Linked DNA regions of Diceros bicornis minor. The protein of the gene in region 1 interacts with the protein of each later gene in a biochemical or structural test. Links are inferred from orthologs where the notes say so. Each region holds a gene or a part of one and is shown on either strand. Other genes may lie near its edges.

Region 1 (9,540 bases):
AACATGAATGGTTTCCGATAAGGGAAAATCAGGCAGCAATAAAGCGGGATTATTTATGATTTATTTGCGCGTATTCTTCTCTTTCCACCTCTCTGTGTGTCTCTCTGTGTCGGGAAACTCATCCAGGGAGCGTGCCACACAGAGGAGAAAGCCACATTCCCACGTTCTCTTCCTTCCCTCTCCTCCCACAGAAACGCTAAGCTCTGGCACACACACACGCACACGCACACCGCACACACATACACACCGCACACGCGAGCAGCCAGACGGATCCATCGCACCGCCTCCGCCCCCAGCAGACGCGCGCCCGCCGCCGCGGCCCCGCGCGGGGGCCAGGTCGCCAGGCCGGGCCGCCCGCCGCCCGCATCCGCGCCGGCCCGGCTCCCGCACGGCCGCGCTCCCAAGATGGCAGCGGCGCCGCCGGCCGCGGCCCTGCGCGGGGGCCGCGGGGTCGGCCAGGCCCGAGGGCCGGCGAGGGCCGGCCGGGGCGGCGGCGCGGCGGGGCGCAGGAGGCCGGGTCCAGGCGCAGCGGGGCCTGCGGTCGCTCCCGGCGCGGCCTGCCCTCCCAGCGAGCGCAGCCTCACCTGACGTGAACAGCACGATGGCTTTGAGGCAGCTGTACTCGGCCGAGTCGACGTGCAGCGCCTTGAGCTTCTCCACCTGCTCCTGGAAGATGCGGATGTGGTCCATGAAGGCCACGACGCGGTCTGCGGACATGGGCGAGGCGTGCAGGCCGGCGGCGGCCAGCAGCGGCGCCACGTGCAGCGGCATGGAGCACTGGGCCGCGTTGAGCACGAACAGCTCGCTCCAGGTGAGGCGAAGCAGGGACACCTGGTCGGTGATCTGCAGATCCGGGAAGAAGGGGATGTTGCGGGCCCACTCGACGGCGCTGAAGAGCAGGCGCGCGGCCAGCTCGCAGATGTTCTCGATGCCCATGATGTTGTTGGGCTGCATGCATTGGCTGCCGTAGCGCGACGTGGGGTAGGGCTCCGCGCGCAGCAGCAGCGAGATGTAGCCGGACAGGTAGCAGTGGCCGTTGAGGGGGTCCCCGTTGGTGAGTGCGTACTGGCCTGGATTGGGTTGGGTTGGAGGCATTCTTCCTCGCTGAACCGCTGACAAAAAGAAAGAGAGAAAAGAGGCAATGTGCATCCAGGGGGCTTGCGAACACCGCCGCGCCCGCAGAGCACCCGACACAATGCGGAGGCTCTTCCCGCAGCCACCGCATCTTCTCTCGTGCTCGCTCTCACTCGCAGCCCACCCTGGGGGGAAATCTGGGGTGAGGCCCTCCAGCTCCGCGGCTCCATGTGCCCAGCCATCGCCGGCGCCCCTGGCCACCCTAGCCCTGCCAGAACTAGGCCTGACTTCAAGGCCCCCAGCCCGACATGGGCAAGAAAGTGCCACCCAACCCCTCCACCACCAGGGAGTAACACACAGATTAATGAACTCCCACTCACCCCTCCAGAATGAAACAAATCAGGGTTAAAACAAAACAAAAGAAAACAAAAACAACCAGGCGAAACCAGAGAAAGCTTGTGATTCTAGGTAAATGCCTAGCTGCCTCTTCATTTGCAAGCAAGCAGCGTTTTGCTCAAAATGTTTCCATATTCTCTAAAAATGCTATAGAACTATCCTTAAAATAGTTCCAAGTTACATACCCTACTAACCACTTACAACTTTTGAACAGAAAACAAGTATCCTGCACCCCTCCCCTATCCCCACCTCCCCATCACACCACACTGAGTTCTCACTGTTAAAAGCAACAGAAAATTGAAAAATTTCAAGAAAAGAGTTGAACTTACAGTAGCCAAACATTATTGAAAAAAGTGGGAAATATAATTAATGTCTGTCCTGCGCGGTGCCACTGCAACCTGCAGCCAGCTTTTGCCCAGTGAATGCACGAGCTTGCAACTGCAAAAACACTGGATTCATTAACCATCTGAATGCAAAACGTAAGCATGCTTTGAGTTCTTAAAGCTGACCAAAGTTTTTTTTTTTTTTTTTTTAATGTGTATGTTTTACTTCAACAGTGCCAGCATTTTAAATTGCCATGTAAACAAAGACAACTTTAGGAAAAGTTAGGACTACTGAACTCTCCCCCCAACAAATTAATATAGATATGTCCATGTACACATAGCTGTCTTATTTCAGGTTGTGCACTTTTTTCTTAAGTTTGCTTTGATTCTAATTTTAATGCAAGCCCCAGTGCAATTTAAGCTCTTAAAACATAACAGCTAGAATACTTTTTTTCTAATTATAGTTTTGAACTTGGCAGTTATTTTTCAATTAAATGAGAGCACAATTCAAAGTTTTTTTTTTTTTTTTTTCCAGATGCCTACAAAATCTCCCTGGAGCTAGAAATGAAGTCGTCATATTTGCCTGCTCCCTGAGATCTGAAGGAATTCAATTTCTTTTCTGGTGGCATATAAAATATCATTTTAAAGTCAATTACAAGAAGGAGTAATCTGCATTCCGCAAAATTGACTGGCTTGCTAATTTGACTATAAGACATCTTTAATGATTGTCAGGAGATAAACTTTAACTGTAAACGGCTAAATATATTTATAAGAAAAGTGCTGCATCTCTTGCCACATGAACATGAAGCATATCTAAATACAACATCAAAAGTTGTGTTAAAAGACACCAAACCCATACAACACAGGGATTAAATGATGTGGAAGCTCATGCCAGCTGCAGTCTGTGCATTATAGCCAAATCAGAAGGATCGGTAAATGCCGTTGTAAATTGTAATTTGTATGCAGTATTTAAGCAGAGGGTGGAGTTTGATGAAGAAATAAAACGAGTATCATGCTTTAAAAAAAATGACACAACTATGAAAGCACAGTTCAGTCACAAACTTTCCTTTCAAAGTAGAGGGGTGAAAACAAGGCCACAGCTCGCTGAAGAGGAGAAGGAACCAGTGAACAGTCCAGAAGCCCCCCTTCCCCCCTAATTAGACCTACAAGTGCAATAAATCTCACTCCTTTTTTTTCCAAGCTAAGCTTCCAAAAGGATGATGCAGCAATGAATCTGTGGTTCAGGCTACTCCAGTACCCAGCCTTCCCCCATTTTAAAAAAAGGGTAAGAAGAGGTGGAGGAGAAAGTGGAATGAAAAAACACAGAAACAGAGTTTTCTGGGGGAAATAAGCACCCCTCCCCAACTTCATGCCAGCACAGCCCCAAGCATCCTGACGCACACGCAGAAAAGAGACACACACCGAGCACATCCAAGACAGAGGAAGGAAGGGGATTTGAAGCCACAGCTCACGATCCCAGGGACACAATCCTGAGCAGGCAGCGGGCGGGGTGGAGGAGCCGGGGAGAGGAGCGCAGGCCGGGAGGGGGAGGCAGCGGCAGCGAGCTTGGGGGGGGGGGGACGCCGGGGGAGGAAGGCAGCGGGGACAGGGGAAGCTGGGACGGCCCAGGACCGCAGGAGCCCCAGCCCCATACGGCACCCACCCCCACAAGAGAGAAAGAAAGAGGGCCGGGGAGGCGGGCGAAGCTCAGGGAGAGAAGCAGAGAAGAAATATTCACCTTCCCGCCTCATGCCCACTTTGAGGCACTTCTTGAGGCGGCAGTATTGGCACTGGTTGCGGTGGTGCTGGTCGATGGGACAGTTCCTGTTGGCACGGCATGTGTAAGTTAAGTTCCTGCGGACGCTCCTCTTGAAGAAACTTTTGCAGCCTTCGCAGGTGAATTGGCCATAGTGCTTGCCGCTCGACTTGTCCCCGCACACCACGCACTCGATGTGCTGCTGGCTCTGGCCCGAGCCGGGCGGGCCCTGGCCCTTGTCCCCTGCCGTGCCGGGGGTGGCGGGCGCTCCAGGCTGGCCCGGGGTCTGCGGCGTGTGCGGCGCGCCCGAGCCCGCCTGCTGCTGCTGCTCGCCGGCGCCGCCGCCGCCGCCGCGGGCCGCCTGCGCTGCGGGGTTGGGGCCGCCGGGGTTGCCCCCGGCCACGTCGTCCTGCGGATCTCGCCAGCTGCTAACTACCATTGCCATATCTTTGGGCCCGGGGAGCGCTGGGGGGAGCCGAGCTGCTCGCCGAGGGCCGCGGGGCGCGCGGGCGCGCTGGGAGGGGAAGGGGAAGGGGAAGGGGGGAGGGGGAGGGGGCGGGGGGCCCGCCGGGCGCCCCGGGGTCGCGGGAGCCGAGCCCGAGCCGGGGACCGGCCGCTGCCGCCGCCGCCGCCGCCGCCGCCGCCGCCGCTACTGCCTCGGCCGCCCCGCTGCTGCTGCGCGCCCGCCCGCCCTGCTGGCGTTTTGTTGTGGTTCCTGCTGTTTTCTTTCTCTCTTTTTGCAGCCCCCCCAGGCTCTCAGGCTCCCCCCCAACACCCCTGCTCCCCTTGCCCGCTCCCCCCGCGCTCCGATCCTGGGGGGGCCACGCTCTCCTTCCCCCCCTCCCCACCCCCCCCCAGCGAGCAAGCTCCCTTCTCTCGCTTTTTTCTTCTTCCCCAAGTTGCAAAATCAGAAATGGCACAGGCGGCAGCCGGGAGCGGCGCGGGGCGCAGCGCCGGGGGCGGCGGGCATGGGCCACGGCGCGCGCACACACTCGCCCTCCGCCTCGCCGGCACCCCCGCGCACACACACACTCGCACACACACTCGCTCACCCGCGCCGGGCGCCCGCCCGCCCGCCCGCCGCTCGGGCTACGCGCTGCGCGCCGGCTGAGCCGACATAGAGGAAGCCGGCGAGGGCGGCGGCGGCGGCGGCGGCGGAGGAGCTCTCGGCTGCAGGCGCCGCTGGAGCCGCCGCCTCAGCTGCAGCGGCGAGCGCCGCTGGAGGAGCTGGGGCCCGGGCCGGAGTCCGAGCAGGAGTCGGGGCCGCAGCCGGAGCGCGAGCCCGGGTCCGGGCCGCCGGCGCCGCCGCCGCTGTCCCGGCGGGAGCCCTCGCTGGGCTCGGGATTGAGGGGAGCGCGGTGAGCCGAGCAGGGCGCGGGGCGAGGCTGGCGGCGGCGATCAAGGCGCGCTGGTATCGGGGGGCCAGGTCCAGGGCCGGACGCAGCCAGCCATTCAGGAAGGCAGCGCTGGAGAGCGGGAGGCAGCCGGCGAGGAGGATCACACACTTTGCTCTTTTTGTTGTGCCGGTGGCGCCGGGCTCTCGCTGCCTTCTTCTTTCGGGAGGTGACGGAGGGGGAGAAAAATACGAGATAATTCACGTCGGCGACGAATTCACAGCGAAATAGAAAAAATAAAAATCAGAAGAAAAAGAATTGCAAAAAAAAAAAAAAAAAAAAGCGAGAGAGACATCCAAAGTAGGTCGAATAAATAATCCTCTTCTTTTCCTCTTTCTTGCTCCTTCTTCTGCTTCTTCTGCTATAACACACAGAGCTAGTTAAAAAAACCCTGGAGATCGCCCAAAAATGTTCTTTTTTTAGTATTTTAAATAAGTGCTCTTCAGCCGGGAACCAACACCCTCCCTCCCCCCAAAAATCATATATGTATAAAATAACGATAAGAAGAATACGAAGGGGGTGCCTCCTCCTTTTTTTTTTTTTTTTTTTAAGTTGAGCCCTCTCTCTTCTGCAGGAATGGAGTAAGAGAGACAAGGAGGAGGGAGAAAAAGGAGAGAAAGAAGAATACGGGGGAAACAACTAATAGAATATATAAGAAAAGAGAAAGGGGGAGAGAGGAGAGAGGGGAAGAGAAGAGAGAGAGAGAGATTGAGAGAGAGAGAAAGGCGGAGGAGGAGAAAGAGAGAGAGTGAGAGAGAGAGAGAGAAGAGAGAGAGACCCCAAAATTGAATGCGTTTAAACGGGAGGACTCGCAGAGCAATGTTTCCGAAAAGGGGATCTGCGCGAATGTCTGTATATAGTGAACTTTGACACTACTATTGAAACTGACACGTTTCTATGGAGATCGCTGCCTTATATGGAGCTCGTGTCAAGGAGCCAAGAGAAGGGCTGCTGGCAACTGATAATCAAAGGCGACTGACTGGTCAGAGCCCTGAATCGGGGGGAGAGAAAACGGGAGGCTAAGGTTAGCCAAGCCTCCCGCACGCCATTGGTTGGAGAGCCCCTCCCCCTCCTCTTTTTCTTTCTTTCTTTTTTTTTCCCCTCCCTCTTAGCTACCTACTGACGGGGAAGGCGAGGGGAGGAGGAGAGAAAGTGAGGGAGGGGGGTGTGCTTCTGACAAGCGCAATTTACATTGAGATCGCCCTGCGCTGCTATTTACTCTGAGACCTGATTAGTATGGGTCGTCTGTGGTCACACACACACACACACACACACACACACACACACGCACACACACTCTCCCCAGAGGGGGAAGGGATGGCTAGGGGGAGAACGCTTTGCAATGGGTAAAAAGAGAATTAGAAGGAAATTATTTTGATCTCTTCTGAAAAGTTTTTAACATTAGGTTTTATGAGCATGAAGAGAGTGTCATTGAAAATGTTAGGAAAAATTTTAATGGGAATTAAACTCTCACCATGTTAATGATTCGTGAAATATACTGGGTTTGAACTGTTTTCTTCTTTCACATATAAGCGCAATCCAAGTGTGGATTCTGCTCATTTTATATCCTTTTAAGAAACAGGGTAAGGAGTTCCTATTTTTTAGTCTAAAGTGTATCTTGGTTTTAAAGGTTTAATTATGACAAAACACACTCCTGGAATTTGCAGCTATTGCCAGAAAATCAATCTGAATCAACCGTTCCTATTCATCCCAAAGATGATTTTAAAAATAAACTTTCCAATCAATCCGATTTTTTCTTCTTTCTTTTTTCCCCCTTTGGTAACCTCAGGCTATTCCAAATTCCAAACAACGCTTCCATAATTATTAATAAAACAGTAGTAAGTTGGGGGGGGGGTGTGTGTTAGTGCGGCCACGTCAAAGTCCCAGGAAAAGAGAAAAGGGGCGAGCCAATAAGAAGGGAAGAAGATGGGAGATGGGGCAAGGTGCGGATGAGGAGGGAGGGGGGAGGGGAGAGAGAGGCAGGAGGGAGAGGGAGAGAGAAAGAGGGAGGGAGAGAGAGAGAGAGAGGGAGGGAGGGAGAGAAGGGGGGAGAGAAAGAGAGAGAGAGGGAGAGAGAGAAAGACCCCGATTCCCGAAGGCGATTGGTCGCAGGAGGAGGGGCGGGCGTGAGGAGCGGATCCCGCCGCGGGGCCCGCAGGAATCGCTGGCTCCGGCTGCCACCTAGCGGACGGGAGCCGCGCCCGGGAGGCGCACGGCCGGGTCCCTCCTCCCCTCCCTGCAGGCAGCCTGTGCCTTTTCTCCAAACGAAGACAGCACTTTGAAAATTCTTTCAATGGATTTTTTCCTTGAAAGATCGTACTGGGGGAAAACGATACTTCTATTAGTTACATATTCTCCAATCGCACACTCGCACCCCCCTCGTTTTGAGATCGCTCCCCTAGGCAGGCTCAGGCGGGCGCGGAGCGGCGCGGAGTGACAAAGCCGCCGCTGCCGCCGCCGGGGGTGGGAGCCACGCTCGCCCGCCCGCCCCTCGACTCGGGAGAGCGTAAAAGTTTGTCTCAGCTCCAGCATCCCCAGCCTCAACACGCCCTCAGGTAAAGGTGGGAGTATATGGCCACGCTGTATTGACAGAGGTAGGGTTTGTTTTTTAATACTACTCGTTCTCACTTTAAATTTCACCAGGGAGGGGTTTGGGAAGCGCTGCGTGTTTGGGGTGCGTTTTGCGCTTCCCGGTCTCTCCAGCCTGCAAGCCGGGAGTCAGCGACCGCTTAGTGACGAGCGACGATTTTAAAGAGAATAAAGGCTTTTCTGTGCCTGCCCCGCAGCCCCTCCAGCTCGAATAATGGAGAGACAGTCAATGCACTCTGCAAGCGGCGGCCCATTGTACGCAGCTGATGGAGAGGAGGCGACTGGGGCCGGCAGGGGCTCCTTGCCCTCGCCCTTCTCCCCAAATAAACGCGCGCCATGTCTCCTGGTCCGTTAAAAGGTGAAACGAACATGATTTAAAGACCAAAAAAAAAAAAAAAAAAAAAAAGGAAAAGAAAATGAACAAGCTTTCTATATATAAATTCTAAATTTTACTCCCCATACAGTACAGAGGCAGGCAGTGGAGGGCAGAGGAAGCAGGCAGAGAGAGGGAGACAGGGAGAAGGAAAGAGAACGTGGAGAGAGACGGAGCGAGTGGAAGAGGAGGCGAGAGCGAGCGCCAGGGAACCGGAGGCCCGCTGGACGCCCGGTCCGCGGGCCCAGCAGCCCTCGGACCCTGGACCGTGAGTCATGGGCACCAGAAACGAGATTCGGCCAAGTCTTGTCCCACCAGGCAAGTGGTTATCATTTCTTTTGAACTCGGGGTTGGTAACGCGGACCGGCCGGGAGGCAGCCTTGGCTCGCATGGCCTCTGCAGGCCGGGGCCGGAGTCAGGGAGCCCGGGCCAGACTAGGAGAACTTTCCGCGGGGCCTGCTCCGGAGCTGCTCTCCTGCGGCCTCTGTCCCGCTGCGGCGCGGAGGCGGGGATCGCGGCCGCCGCGCCGCCCCGGGGCTGAGATCTTGCCCGCGGAGCGTCAGTCCAAATTCAAAACAGGTCTCCCCCACCCCCACCCTCGTCCCCCGCCCCTGGCGGGAAACGGCTGCGGGGCCTCCAGCGCAGGGGCGGAGGACGGGGGAGGTGGATCCGCAGGTTTAGCACCCGCACCGCCGCCGCCCGCGGTGCCGAGGCCGAGCCGCGCGGGAGCCCGCTGCGGAGTCCGGCCGGGCTGGCCCTGCTGCCCGCGCCTCGCCTGCCTGCAGCCAGGGCCTGGCGAGCTCGGCTCCTGCCGCCCACCTGCAGGCGCGGCTTGTAACGAGATACCCTAGCGTAACGCGATCGATGGCTGCTTGTTTGATGTGGGCGATAGTGTCAGCGGATTAAAAGGGACACCAAGCCGCTCTCTCCAGCGGAGAACCTGCGGCGGCGACGGCGGCGGCGAGAGAGCGCCAGATCCGCAGGCCAGCCAGACTCAACAGGGCTGGGGGCGGCGGGTGTCACCTCCCAGGGGTGGGGACCGAGGGGGTGTGTGTGAAAGGAAGAGCCTCAATTAAAACCAACGAGAGCGCTTTCCTCCGCGCTGGGCAGGGGCGCGCGTTTGCGTCAGAGGGCGCGCAGGGCGGGCGCGGGGGTGGGGGGAGCCGACGCCCGAGGCCGCCCCGGGGCTGGGTGGGCGCGAGAACGAGCCAGCAGAGCAAGGTTGGCTTCGGTCCCGCGTTGCAGGCCAGGGTCAATGCGTGGCGGGAGGACGAGCTGAGACTCCCCGGGAGCGGCGGCGCCCACTCACCTTTACTGTGGGCTCTTCCTGCCAGCCCCCACCCTGAGCTTCCAAACTTGGAAGAGGCCCCTGGGATCCGGCGTGACCCTGGGGATGGGCAGAAGCGGGGCCCTCGAGGCCTCAGGCGAAGCCGCCTGCTTCTCCGGAAGGAAGGGCGGGAGGGAGGGGTGCAGCCCCCGGCCCTAGTCCCAGAGAGGAGGGGTGGTGGTGGCTGGAGCAGTGGAAACCCGCGGCTTTTCGGAGAAGGGGAACAAATCGCGCTCCTCTAGGGTATATGTGCCAACTTTCTGTCGCGAGAGGGGACAGGAAGAAACCCAGGCTTTTCGAGGAGAAGC
Region 2 (10,692 bases), on another chromosome or scaffold:
AGAGAGAGAAAGAGATCTCCAAAAGCTTCCTCAGCTGAGTTATTCTGTCTTTTATAAAACAACTTCACATCTGGACTGATAACTTGAATTCCACCCAGTGCCATTTAAATAGCCGAAGTTATAAACCTCTTAAACTTGGGGTTTATAATAGAAACACTGACAGACCCTTAACTATAGTGCCTCTATAGTAATGAAAGCACCACTATTTCATTATAGCAGTGTCTGGCAGGGCTGCTATAATTAAGAGTCTGTCAGCGTTTCCATTATAAACCCAAATTTTAAGAGGTTTTTACTCACATTGTTTTAAATCACATTGGGCTGAAACTTGCTGTATAAAATGTCAGACCAGATGTGTGTGTGTGTGTGTGTGTGTGTTGTGTTGCTTTTCCTTTTATTTACACCCCCCCCAAAAAGAGGCAAATAGTTTTTATTTGTTTTTGTTTTGTTTGTTTTTGCTTGTTGTTTTGTTTATTTGTTTTTAAGATTGAGTGTAAAACATTTGTATTGAAAAAATTATTCCCTTGTTAAAAGCAAAAGATTCATGATAGAGGGGCACAGAGAATGAAGTTTGAGATATTTTTTATTTTTGGTTGTTCCTATTGTATTTCTTCCTTTAGAAGTGCTCTCATTTGGGAAACCAGATTTGTACATATCCAAAAAGCACTGTTAAAGAAATGAATCTCTTGATATTGGATTCTTGATACTAGTTTACTTGGAAGATATTTGGTAATGTAGGCTGCTAGAGATGATGAAAATATCTTGCATAGTATTCTTAATTATTCAGCTGCTCTGATATTTGGGATAATCTTTTTGAGCTCACCTTCCTTGGTGGGAATCACTTTTAGGCTAAAATGCACTCTTATAATAGGGTTGCCTGATCAAAGCCTTACTGGTCTCTAGAGGAAACTAATAGAATTTGGATGGTTTTGTTGGTTTCATTTATGTGGTGATAGGAATTATTCACTCAAAAACCATTTATTAAGCATCTCCTGTGTGCTGAGTATCGCACTAGGATGTTGCTAACACAGTACATTGGGCTGGTGTCATTGCCCAGCACCTATGTGTCTTTGATGTCAATGCTAAATGATTTCACCTAGCAGTGTTCTAACCAGAACTCCTTGTTGTTTTCAAAGGGGCCTCTGATTTAAATAGTGAGACTACTGCTGCCCCCTTCCCCATACATTGTTGACTCAGCACACAGCAGCCCAGTCTATAGGCAAACATAGACTTGTTTAGAGCAGATTCAGCTTTTTCCTTCCTTTTTTCTTCCCTCCTTTACCCCCTCCCTCCCTCCCTCTCTCCTTCCTTCTTTTTTTTTTTGGACAGGTCCATCCAGGTATGTCAAGTAGCCTGCCAGGTAGCCAAAGGCCCAGGGAGCCTCTGAAGAAATGCCAGACTAACTGTTACCCCCAGGAACCTCCCTGGGGGATGTCTGTGCCTTTGCAGAAGGTGTGGACACTGCCCTCCAGGGGCCTCCTTAGGTTCCAGGCTCTGGATCACACCTGGAGTAGAGGAGGAAGAAAGGCTATGGGGGTGGGGACTGAGGGAGGCTGGGGAGAAGAGGTGATGGTGGCCCTTCTGCTCACCTTTCAATTTAGGGTGCCCCCATAAAGCCCACCTCCTTCCTCACACACAACTCTTCTTGCTTTTTAAACCGATTTTTCCTTTGTCTTAATGGCACCCTAGCGCTCCCATCCCCAAGAACCCCAGATGCAAAACCTATGCCAAGGGTAGAATCGAAACCTAAGTTTTATTTTTATGAAGATGACTGCCCATTCTCTATTTTCTGAACTGCTATTAGGCAAAAAAAAGAAAAAAAAAAAAAAAGAGAGAGAGAAGAATGAGGTAAAAAGCGAGGTGGGACCGATTGTATTTTTAACCATTCATTCAGTCATTCATTTATTTATCTTTAAGTCTATCAAGGTGTTTCCCCCTAAAGGCAGACAGTGAATATTTTATTTTAATCTTGTAGTTTCCATCGAGACAGACCTTTTAACCCTTCCTTCTCCTGCTCAGCCCGAGTCCCCGCGCCAGGCGATCCTCGGCTCGAGGGCTGGGACTGTGTGAAGTCTCCTTCCTGGAGCTGTTTGTTGACCACATTCACGTTCAGAGCCCTGGAGCTAAAAGCACTTTACACCATAAAATAAAAGCACTGTCTTTTTTTCGAAAAGGTTACGTCTGGAGGCCACGCGGCTCATACTTCATACCGAAAACTACTGAAAGGACTATGAAATCCTCTATGATTTACACTCTCTCACTGCATTAGGGTATAGATCTACTCGACTCTAAAAATACGGTGGGTTTCTAACCGACGTGAATATATGTGCATTATTTCAGAAAGTCTGTTAGAAAACTTGTCAACACATTATAAAGCATAAACCAGGACTTGGCTATTAAGTACGGAGATCAGAGGCAGAATACATACTGCAGGAAGTCCTGGGGAGTCTCCTCCGCGGGCAAGATAAAAAGGGGGAGGAGGGGAGGGGAGGGGTCGTCTGTCGGCCTGGAGTTTACACGCAGTGTCGTCACTAAAGGTTGGGGAAAGAGCCCACCGAGCGTAATTACCCCTTCAGTGGAATCAGCCAAGGTTCGACAGCTCCAAATGAAGTTAACTGAACGGCCAGAAAATTTTAACGCTGTCATAATTTATTACTTTCTAAAAGCCACTTTTGGAAAGGTAAATATACTTATTGTGTATCCAAGTGTGCGCGTTTAAAGTGACCTTTCACCCCTCGACAAAACCACCTGCATCATTAATCAATACTTATGTAATATTTTAAGCCTCTTAAAACAACATATTTTTATTTCTTTAAACACACGTACAAACCCTCCCCCTCCCCCACTTTGGGGCGCTTTAGCGAGCATCCAGCAGCAATGAGGGAGGGGGCGTCGCTCGTAGGGGCGAGCACGAGGGACCGGGAGTGGGGGTCCCGGAGCAGGAGGATCAAATGCCGATACACAGCCCTGGTTTTCTGGACTGGGTGAAATCAGGCTGGGGGAGGGGCGTGAGCGGAGGGCAGCTACTATTTCACTCTGGGCATTTTATGATGGTGAAATTAAATATATGTTAATGGTGGAAACGTCGCTGCGTACCTCGGCATTGGCACCCGGGGAAAGCAGCTGCAAAACTGAGTTTTTAATGTGTGTTTTAAGATGTGGTTTTGGAAGGAACCCCCTGGAATCTGAAACAAGTGCAATAACATAGCAGACCTACTTGTAACTAAGTGCTTAATTTCCTATGATTTTTTAAAAAAGAAAATCAATAAAATGTTGCCAGTTATTTATTGGAAATAACCACAGATAGCGGCCCTGATAGGGTGCCGGTTTTAGAGAGCACACAATTGTGTAATGAATTGTAATTCAGAAGACTGTTAAATGTGAACCACAGAACCTTTCAGAGGTAATAAAGTCATTACTTTTTACACTACAGCCAACTCTGAAAAGCTTTATACACACCATTGTATATAAATCATACATATATATTTCCACAACACACATTCGCCCATTTATACACCTTCTCTATATATGGACTTTTATGGATGGATGGGAAAAATATTTAAATTTGAAAAGCTCAGTTCTGAAAGAATCTGACTTACTATTGTTACCTGAAGGGGCTTTTGTTTTATTTATTTATTTTTCAAAGGCCTCCCAGTTGCACTTTCTTCTCTCTCTTCACCTTTCCTCCAACCATTCTCCTCCAAGTCTCATCCCCCGCCCCCCCCCCGCCAGCCCCCCCACCCCCCGCAATGACATTCTTTTGGTCACTCTAAGGCTAGTTTAACAAGACAAAAAAATAGACGGTAGTGGAAGAGAGATGCTGACCTGCTCTGAAGAACTCATGAAAAAGGGGAAATGGTGCAACGCACAAGCTACAGAGCTTTACTGCAAGTGCATCTTCCTGCCTCTTAAACAGGATTTGAGTCCCCCCCCCTTAAACTGGAGGGAAACAATAACAACAAACCACATTTACACAAACCCAGTTCAGCCCACATCTCTCCTAACGCTGAGCATCAAAACCTCCTTTTCTTACTTAGAGGGGCCCGAAGCTTCGCCGAGCCAGGCAAGCCAGTCATTTTCTAATAGGCTTGAAACTTTACTAAGACAACACATGAATAAACAGCCGCTTGCCGGCGCGGCTGGGAGGTGGGTGCGCGCGTGCAAGCCGGGGCCCTCGCTTAAGACAATAAAGCCCCCCGCCCGGTGGGTGAATTTACGAAAAAGAGGTCCCTTAGACTGAGGAGGGGGAAGAGAAGACACGAGGGGTTGTGGAGCCGCTTGGAGGAGAGGGAAGGAAGGCTCCTCGCTCTGCAGACACACACTCACACACGTCCACCTGCAGCTCGGAGTCTCGCGGGCCGCGGCGACCCGCCTCCACCCTGCACCCTCCGCTCCTCCCTTGGACTTGAGTCCGTTTTCCTCTCCCCCCTGCCCTTCCGGATTTGGAATCGCAGCGTGGTCTCGGCGGCGGTGGTGGCGGCTGAGGCTACAGGGTGGTGCAGGCAGGCAGGGAGGCTGGGAGGCGGGAGACGCCGGGGGACTTTGCAGGCACGTTTCTGAATAAACTTTCCAATCGCAGGGGGTGCTGTTGCTGTACATTTTACGTAAAACTGAAAGTATCCCACGCCAGAGTGAAGCCCGCTTTTTGACAGCGGCAGCGTGTGTGTGTGCGCGCGTGTGTGCATTAAAGAGACAGGGGTTTATTTCCAACAGGTCTTCCCTAATTTCCCGCGAACCTCTGCGGAAAGGCTAGGGGAGGCTTCGGGCTCCAGAGTGGGCGCCTTGACCCGGGGCGCCTGGGGAGCGCGGCGCTGACCCAGGGCGGTCACCCCACCACCGTGGCCTCCCCGCTGCTCCTGCGAGCCAGTCGCGTTCTCTCCATTCCCCATTTTCTTTCCCCACGTAACAGCACAGTAATAGTTGTGCTCTACCAGTAAGAAACATTTTCTTTCCATTCCTCTGCGCGTTTGCAGTTGCTTAGGAGTGGGAGGGGGTGTGTCCTTCCCTGGGACCCGGCTCGGGGACCTCCCGCAGCGCCGGGAGCACGTTCCCAGGGACTGGAACTCCCAGGACTGCCCGTGCTTTGTCCTCTGGCCCGCGGTCCCTCGGTGAGGTGGACGCCTCGGCGCCTCCTTCGCCTCGGGCCCTGGCGCTCCCCTCCGAGTGCCCCGGGTCTGGCTCCTCGTTTCTGTATTCCTTGGCCTCTCTCTCTTTCTGCGACCCTTGGGAGCCTCGACTCTGTGCTTCCAGTTGCATTCAGACCCAATCGCTTGTTGGGGCGCTCAGATCCCCGGCCCCCCGGCTCGGCATTGGGGGCGCCCTCTCGGCCCTCCCGCTCGGGCCTGCACCGCTTCCCTCGCCTTCGCCCCCTCTCTCCAGGCCGCCCGGGCTCCAGGAGGCCCCGGCGCTGCCCTTCCGGACCCCAACCCTCCAAACTTGGGCTGGACTCCGCTTAGCCGCGCGCTCCCTCCCGCCTCCCCTCACCCGCGGCGGAGCTGTAACTTGGAGGCTCCGCTCTCAACTTCGGGTGATTTTTCTTTGCTAGCCTCTCCTCGGGCAAAGTTTCCGGAGCGCAGCCGCGGGCTCAAGGCTTTCACTTCGGCCCCGGCGGCCGCACGCGGGGAGCGAGCGCGGCCGCGGCGGCGGTGAGGGGAAGTGGGTGTGCGCAAGGAGGAGGGTGTCCGGGAGCAACTCTACCTGGCTTCCCTCCGCCCGCGCTTCCCCGGCCCGGGGCTGCAGCCTCCCTGTACGCTCTTGCCTTTTTTTTTTTTTAAATAATCTTTCATTTTAGGGTTGGCGTGCGGGGGTGGTGGTGCAGGGTGCACATCTTGCTCCCCCCACCCTCGCTGCCCCTTTCTTTTCTCCCCGCCACGCCGCCGCCTCTGCGCTCGCTGCGGCCACTGGTGAGCCCGCGGCCCCAGCGCCCCCTCCCCTCCGCCCGCCCCTCCCCCGGGGGCCGCGTCTGGCGTCTGCAGAGCCCCCCGCCCCGCACCTCCCCCGCCCCGCACTGGCCATTGGCTTGTCCTGGTCTCTTTTTCATGTCCAGCCCCTGATGTGTGTCCATTGGTGTGAGCTTCCCCTTCCCTCCTCCCCTTCTCTCCTGCTCGCCCTGCCCATGTTTTGTGTGTCTCTGTCCATCCAGACTCCTGACGTTCAAGTTCGCAGGGACGTCACGTCCGCACTTGAACTTGCAGCTCAGGGGGGCTTTTGCCATTTTTTTCATCTCTCTCTCTCTCTCTCCCTCTATCTTTCCTCTCTCTTTTTTTTTTTTGCTTAAAAAAAAGCCATGACGGCTCTCCCACAATTCATCTTCCCTGCGCCATCTTTGTATTATTTCTAATTTATTTTGGATGTCAAAAGGCACTGATGAAGATATTTTCTCTGGAGTCTCCTTCTTTCTAACCCGGCTCTCCCGATGTGAACCGAGCCGTCGTCCGCCCGCCGCCGCCGCCGCCGCCGCCGCCCGCCCCGCAGCCCACCATGTCTCGCCGCAAGCAAGGCAAACCCCAGCACTTAAGCAAACGGGAATTCTCGCGTAAGTAACCCAATAATAGTAATAATAATTATTAATAATCACGAGAGCGCGCAGGACGAGAAGCAAGAGCGAGGGGGAGAGAGGGGTGTGTGCATGCATTTAAAAAATTTTTCAGGAGAAAAACCTCCGAGAGTCGGGATAAAAGAGATTAAAGGGAGGAAAAAAAAACCCCCAAACCTCATCCCATCCCGAACCATAGCCGTATGTACACTTTGGAATTGCACGCACCTTTTAATTTTATTTAATTTTACAAAAATTTGACTCCTCCTCTTTCTTGCTTTCCGCTGCTTTATTTCGCTTTTCGGAAAGGAATGCAATGATTTCCCCTCCAATTTTGCAAAATAATGAACAATGCTATGGATGCGAACAACTCTCCTGCAAACCTGGGGGAGGGACCTGGAGGGGAAAGGGGGGTTGCTTCCACTCGACGAAGGAAGGAAAACGGGGAGTGGGGGAGCAGGGAGCCCAAGCCTAAAAAACAATTTCCAGGGAGAAAAGAGGTGAGACTGGCCCTCGGACACGAGCGCGCTCACGGTCAAGTGTGCACTGGGAGAAAGTAGTCATCTCCACAATAGTGAGAAAGTGGGATTGTGGGAGGGGGCCCCCGGCGCTCTGGAGTCCGCCGAGTCTGGAGAGGTGCCGCGGCGGCAGGGAGAGCCGGGCGACCGCGAAGGACGGGAGACGCGGCCGGCGCTGCCGCCTTTTGTTCCGGCCTGAGGTGGGTGTTTGTCCCGCTGCCTTTTGTGCCGGCTCCTCGCGCTTGCCCTCCCGCGCCGCCGCCGCCGAAGGGCAGGAGCAAGGGCCGGGGGCGAGCGGGAGAGGGAGGGAGGGCGCCTGGGCCGCCGCCGCCCGGGTTGCGGCTGCCTGCCCCTCCCGGCCGAACCTCAGTGGCGGCGAGAAGAAGTGCAAAATAAAATAAAATAAAAATAAAACAAGGCAAGAGAAGGTAAAATTTCTTGCCCCAAACCAGAAGCCAAACGCTCCTCCGGCGGTTTTCTGCAACGCTCTCCTTTTTGAGTCCCCCACCCCCCCTGCAAAAATCTCACAATCTCTACCGGAGTTAAAAAAAAATACGATTACCCCCTTCCCCAAAACCCTTTTAGTTGCAAACTTAGAGCGCCGGCGGCACGGAGAGGGAGCGAGGAACTCCCTCCTCTTACTATTTTTTGGAAGATTTTCAAAAAAAGTGGAAGTGGATTTTGATTGGGAAAAATCTCGTGTCTGAATGTTTACAAGCACCGCGTGTGCGGGAGCCTGCTGCCAACAAACAGACAGAGGACCGAGCGCGGCGCGGCAGCCCGGGAGCGGGCGGCGGCGGCGGCCGGGCCTCGCCGGGGCCTCGCCGCGCCCCCGCCCCGCCCGGGATCGCCCACTCGGCGCCCGGCGCCCGCCCGCCGGCACAGCAGCAGGCCGTGCCGCGACTCCGCGCCAGCCGGGTCCATGGTTCCCTCTCGCCCACAGCACAATGCCCAGACCTCCTCCCCGCCAACCCGACTGCGAAGTCGGCTGGGGAGAAACTCGGCTTTGCAAAGCATTTTTATTTTGCAAAGCAACTGAAAAAGCGTGTTCTGCGCCCCCCCCTCTCCGCTCCCCCGGATTCTTGTCCACAGCTCAGGACTGCGGGGAGGTCACCACGTGCTTTCCCTGCCCCCCTCCCACCCGGCCTTGCCACCAGCCCCCGACTCCCGAGCGCAGCCAGGCCAGGTGGGGGGAGAGCTGTGTGTGGGGGAGTGGGCAGGGGAGTAGTACGTTCTAGTATGCGTTTTGGGAATGCTAAATCCCGGGACTCTGCGCACCCCACCTTGAGTTCTTGCCCTCCACCCGGGGCCTGGCTCAGTCGGGGTGGGGGGGCTCCTTGTGAATCTATATAAGGGGGTGTGTGTGACTGTCTCCTGGCTAACAGAGTGCGCCTGGAAAGGTGGACAGTGGGCACTTAGGAAAGTTTGGCAGCAAGAGAAAGAAAAGCGTGAGAGGGCCCACATCCTTTCCCCACCTCATTCATGACCCTTATTTTAATTTTTGATGCAATTTTAAAGGACCACCTATACCCAGTTCTGTATTTTTTAAAGGGGTGGGGAGTGCGCACAGAGAATTGAATTTTTCACTGAGACCTGGAACTTGTCACACACTTCGGAAGTTCCCCCGCCCCGGCACGTTGCGGGGCCCTCCCTCTCCCCACCCCCGCGCATCCCTCCCTCGCCGCTCTCCCCCGCCCCCCACTCCCCCGGCCGCGCCGGATGCGGAGCAGACGCGGCGCGCAGCGGTGTGAAGTTACAGCCCGGCCAGGTACCGGCGGGAAGGATGGGCAGTGTTCGCAGGACTCGGGAAAGCCGGGCCCTTCTTCGGAAGGATGCATTGGGGGCTCAAAGGACAGACAGGCTTGCAGTCCAGGCTGCTCCCCGACCCCCCCGCCCCCATCCCGGGGTCTATCTCGGGACACTCCAGTCTGGGTGGGTTAGCCCCTCTCCCCCGGTTTCAGTGAGGGCTTTGTGTTAAGGGGCCGGTTTGGAGAGGTTGCGGGGTCGCTCCTTTCTCATTTTCTGGGTGCACAGAGGGGGCGGGAGCCATTCCAGTCTTCAGGACCCCCTCACCCCCCATCCTCCGCTTCTTGGGATGAATGAGCCATTTGGTCGCTAGGAGGCAGAACAAGATCAAGAAAGCTCAGCGAACTTGAACCTGTACCAGAGCTTCCCCCACCCCCTGCTCTGCGTTTCTCGGCCGGGGAGGGACAGCATTGCGAGCGTGGGGGTGGGGGAAACGGACGGTTAGGCAGAATTCCCTTTCTCCCCCCATCACCCCTTATGTCTTTGTTCTTCATTTTGACTTTAAAAATGCTCTGGCTAGGGCAGCAGAGAAGCACCCGGGAGCGCGGCGGACACCTCCGTGCTTCAGCCGCGGAGCGGCGTGCAGTTTTCGCTTTCTTTTGGGGCGTGCATTTTTGGTAGGGAGGAAAGGGGAGTGCGCGCTCTCCGTCTTTGGGGCGAGGCCAAAGGGCGGGATCGGCAAGTTTGCACTTAGTCTCCAGGTTCACTTCTTCCACCCCCTCATCCCCGCGCAAATCACGGACCACGGCGGCCACGGCAGGCTTGCAGGGCGGCTCTGCAGCCTGACTCTCGGCTCCCCCGCCTCCTGTAGCTCTCGCCTCGGAGCCCGAAATCACAACAATAGTAATAGTTATCATCCTAATGATGCGGGCAAACAGGGTCATTAATAATGAATAACCGCAGCCGCCGCCGCGCTGCGCACACCGGTGTGCGGAATTTCGGGAGAAACGCATTTGTAGAGATCCCCCAAAGTAAAAAGTGTGAGCCTGTGGACACAGAGTGAATTTCAGGAGCCGCGCTTGAGGTGTGTGCGGTGATACTGAGACCGCACCAGGTTAACCAGCCGAGTTTTCCAAGCCTCACTTTCCGTTTCTCCAACTGGCGGGCTCAGGGAACCGTGGTCACCCTGCGGCCAGGCCGGATGGGAGTGGAGGCGGCAGTCCGGGCTCCTGGCTGCCCGCCGCCCCCGGGCCCCTGGCCCCCGGTCCCACGGCCGCCGCTGCACGTGTTCGCAGCGAGCACGGCCGGAGCCTGCAGCCAGCACGCTGCTCGCTTTGTGCCTCCGACTCCCGGCGCCCAACTTCACTTTCTGCACAGCCCGCCCCTGCCGGGCCCCCTGCCCCGGGCCTGTCGCCCCTGCCTTCGCTTTTGTTTCTTTGCTTTTTCTCTCTGCATTTCAGCATCGGTTTGCTTCCTTACCCAGTTAAGACAATCAAAGGGAAGGAGGACTTGGAAAGCAAACTCGAAGGCAGAGCTTCTTTTCCCCCTCCCCCTCCCCCAGCAACCCTCGTTTCCCTTGCTCCTTCCCTACATGTCTTCTAAGGCTTTTTTTTTTTTTTTAATTTATTCCTTTGCAACTGCAGAGACAGAGGAAGATCTCACTCAGCCGCTGGGGCATTGAGACGTTCCAGTCTGTCTTGCTGTTTGAACGCAGAAGCATTTTATTTTCTGTCTCTTTCTCCCCTTGTAGAGAATTCGCGACTAATTATTATGATTATTTGCCCACTCCCTTCCACTTCAATCCTGGACTCCCTGCTTTGTAGCGTAGCTTAGGCCAGAGCTTAGAAACGATGGTATTGTGGGGGTGAAGGAGGATGGAGTTGAAATGAGGGAGGG

Evidence for each region. The genes of interacting proteins can lie anywhere in the genome.
Region 2: the proteins of NR2F1 (region 1) and BCL11A form a complex in vitro, tested with the Homo sapiens proteins (2 studies listed by BioGRID). The link is inferred for Diceros bicornis minor from reciprocal best matches to the Homo sapiens genes NR2F1 and BCL11A.

The regions. Positions count from the first base shown.
Region 1 is NC_080740.1:19,649,888-19,659,427, reverse strand, and holds the start of NR2F1 (COUP transcription factor 1), read right to left. Parts: upstream 3,995-9,540; coding exon 3,532-3,994; intron 1,113-3,531; coding exon 585-1,112; intron 1-584. UniProt on the Homo sapiens protein: Coup (chicken ovalbumin upstream promoter) transcription factor binds to the ovalbumin promoter and, in conjunction with another protein (S300-II) stimulates initiation of transcription. Binds to both direct repeats and palindromes of the 5'-AGGTCA-3' motif.
Region 2 is NC_080751.1:26,589,518-26,600,209, forward strand, and holds the start of BCL11A (B-cell lymphoma/leukemia 11A), read left to right. Parts: upstream 1-6,149; 5' UTR 6,150-6,477; coding exon 6,478-6,532; intron 6,533-10,692. UniProt on the Homo sapiens protein: Transcription factor. Associated with the BAF SWI/SNF chromatin remodeling complex. Binds to the 5'-TGACCA-3' sequence motif in regulatory regions of target genes, including a distal promoter of the HBG1 hemoglobin subunit gamma-1 gene.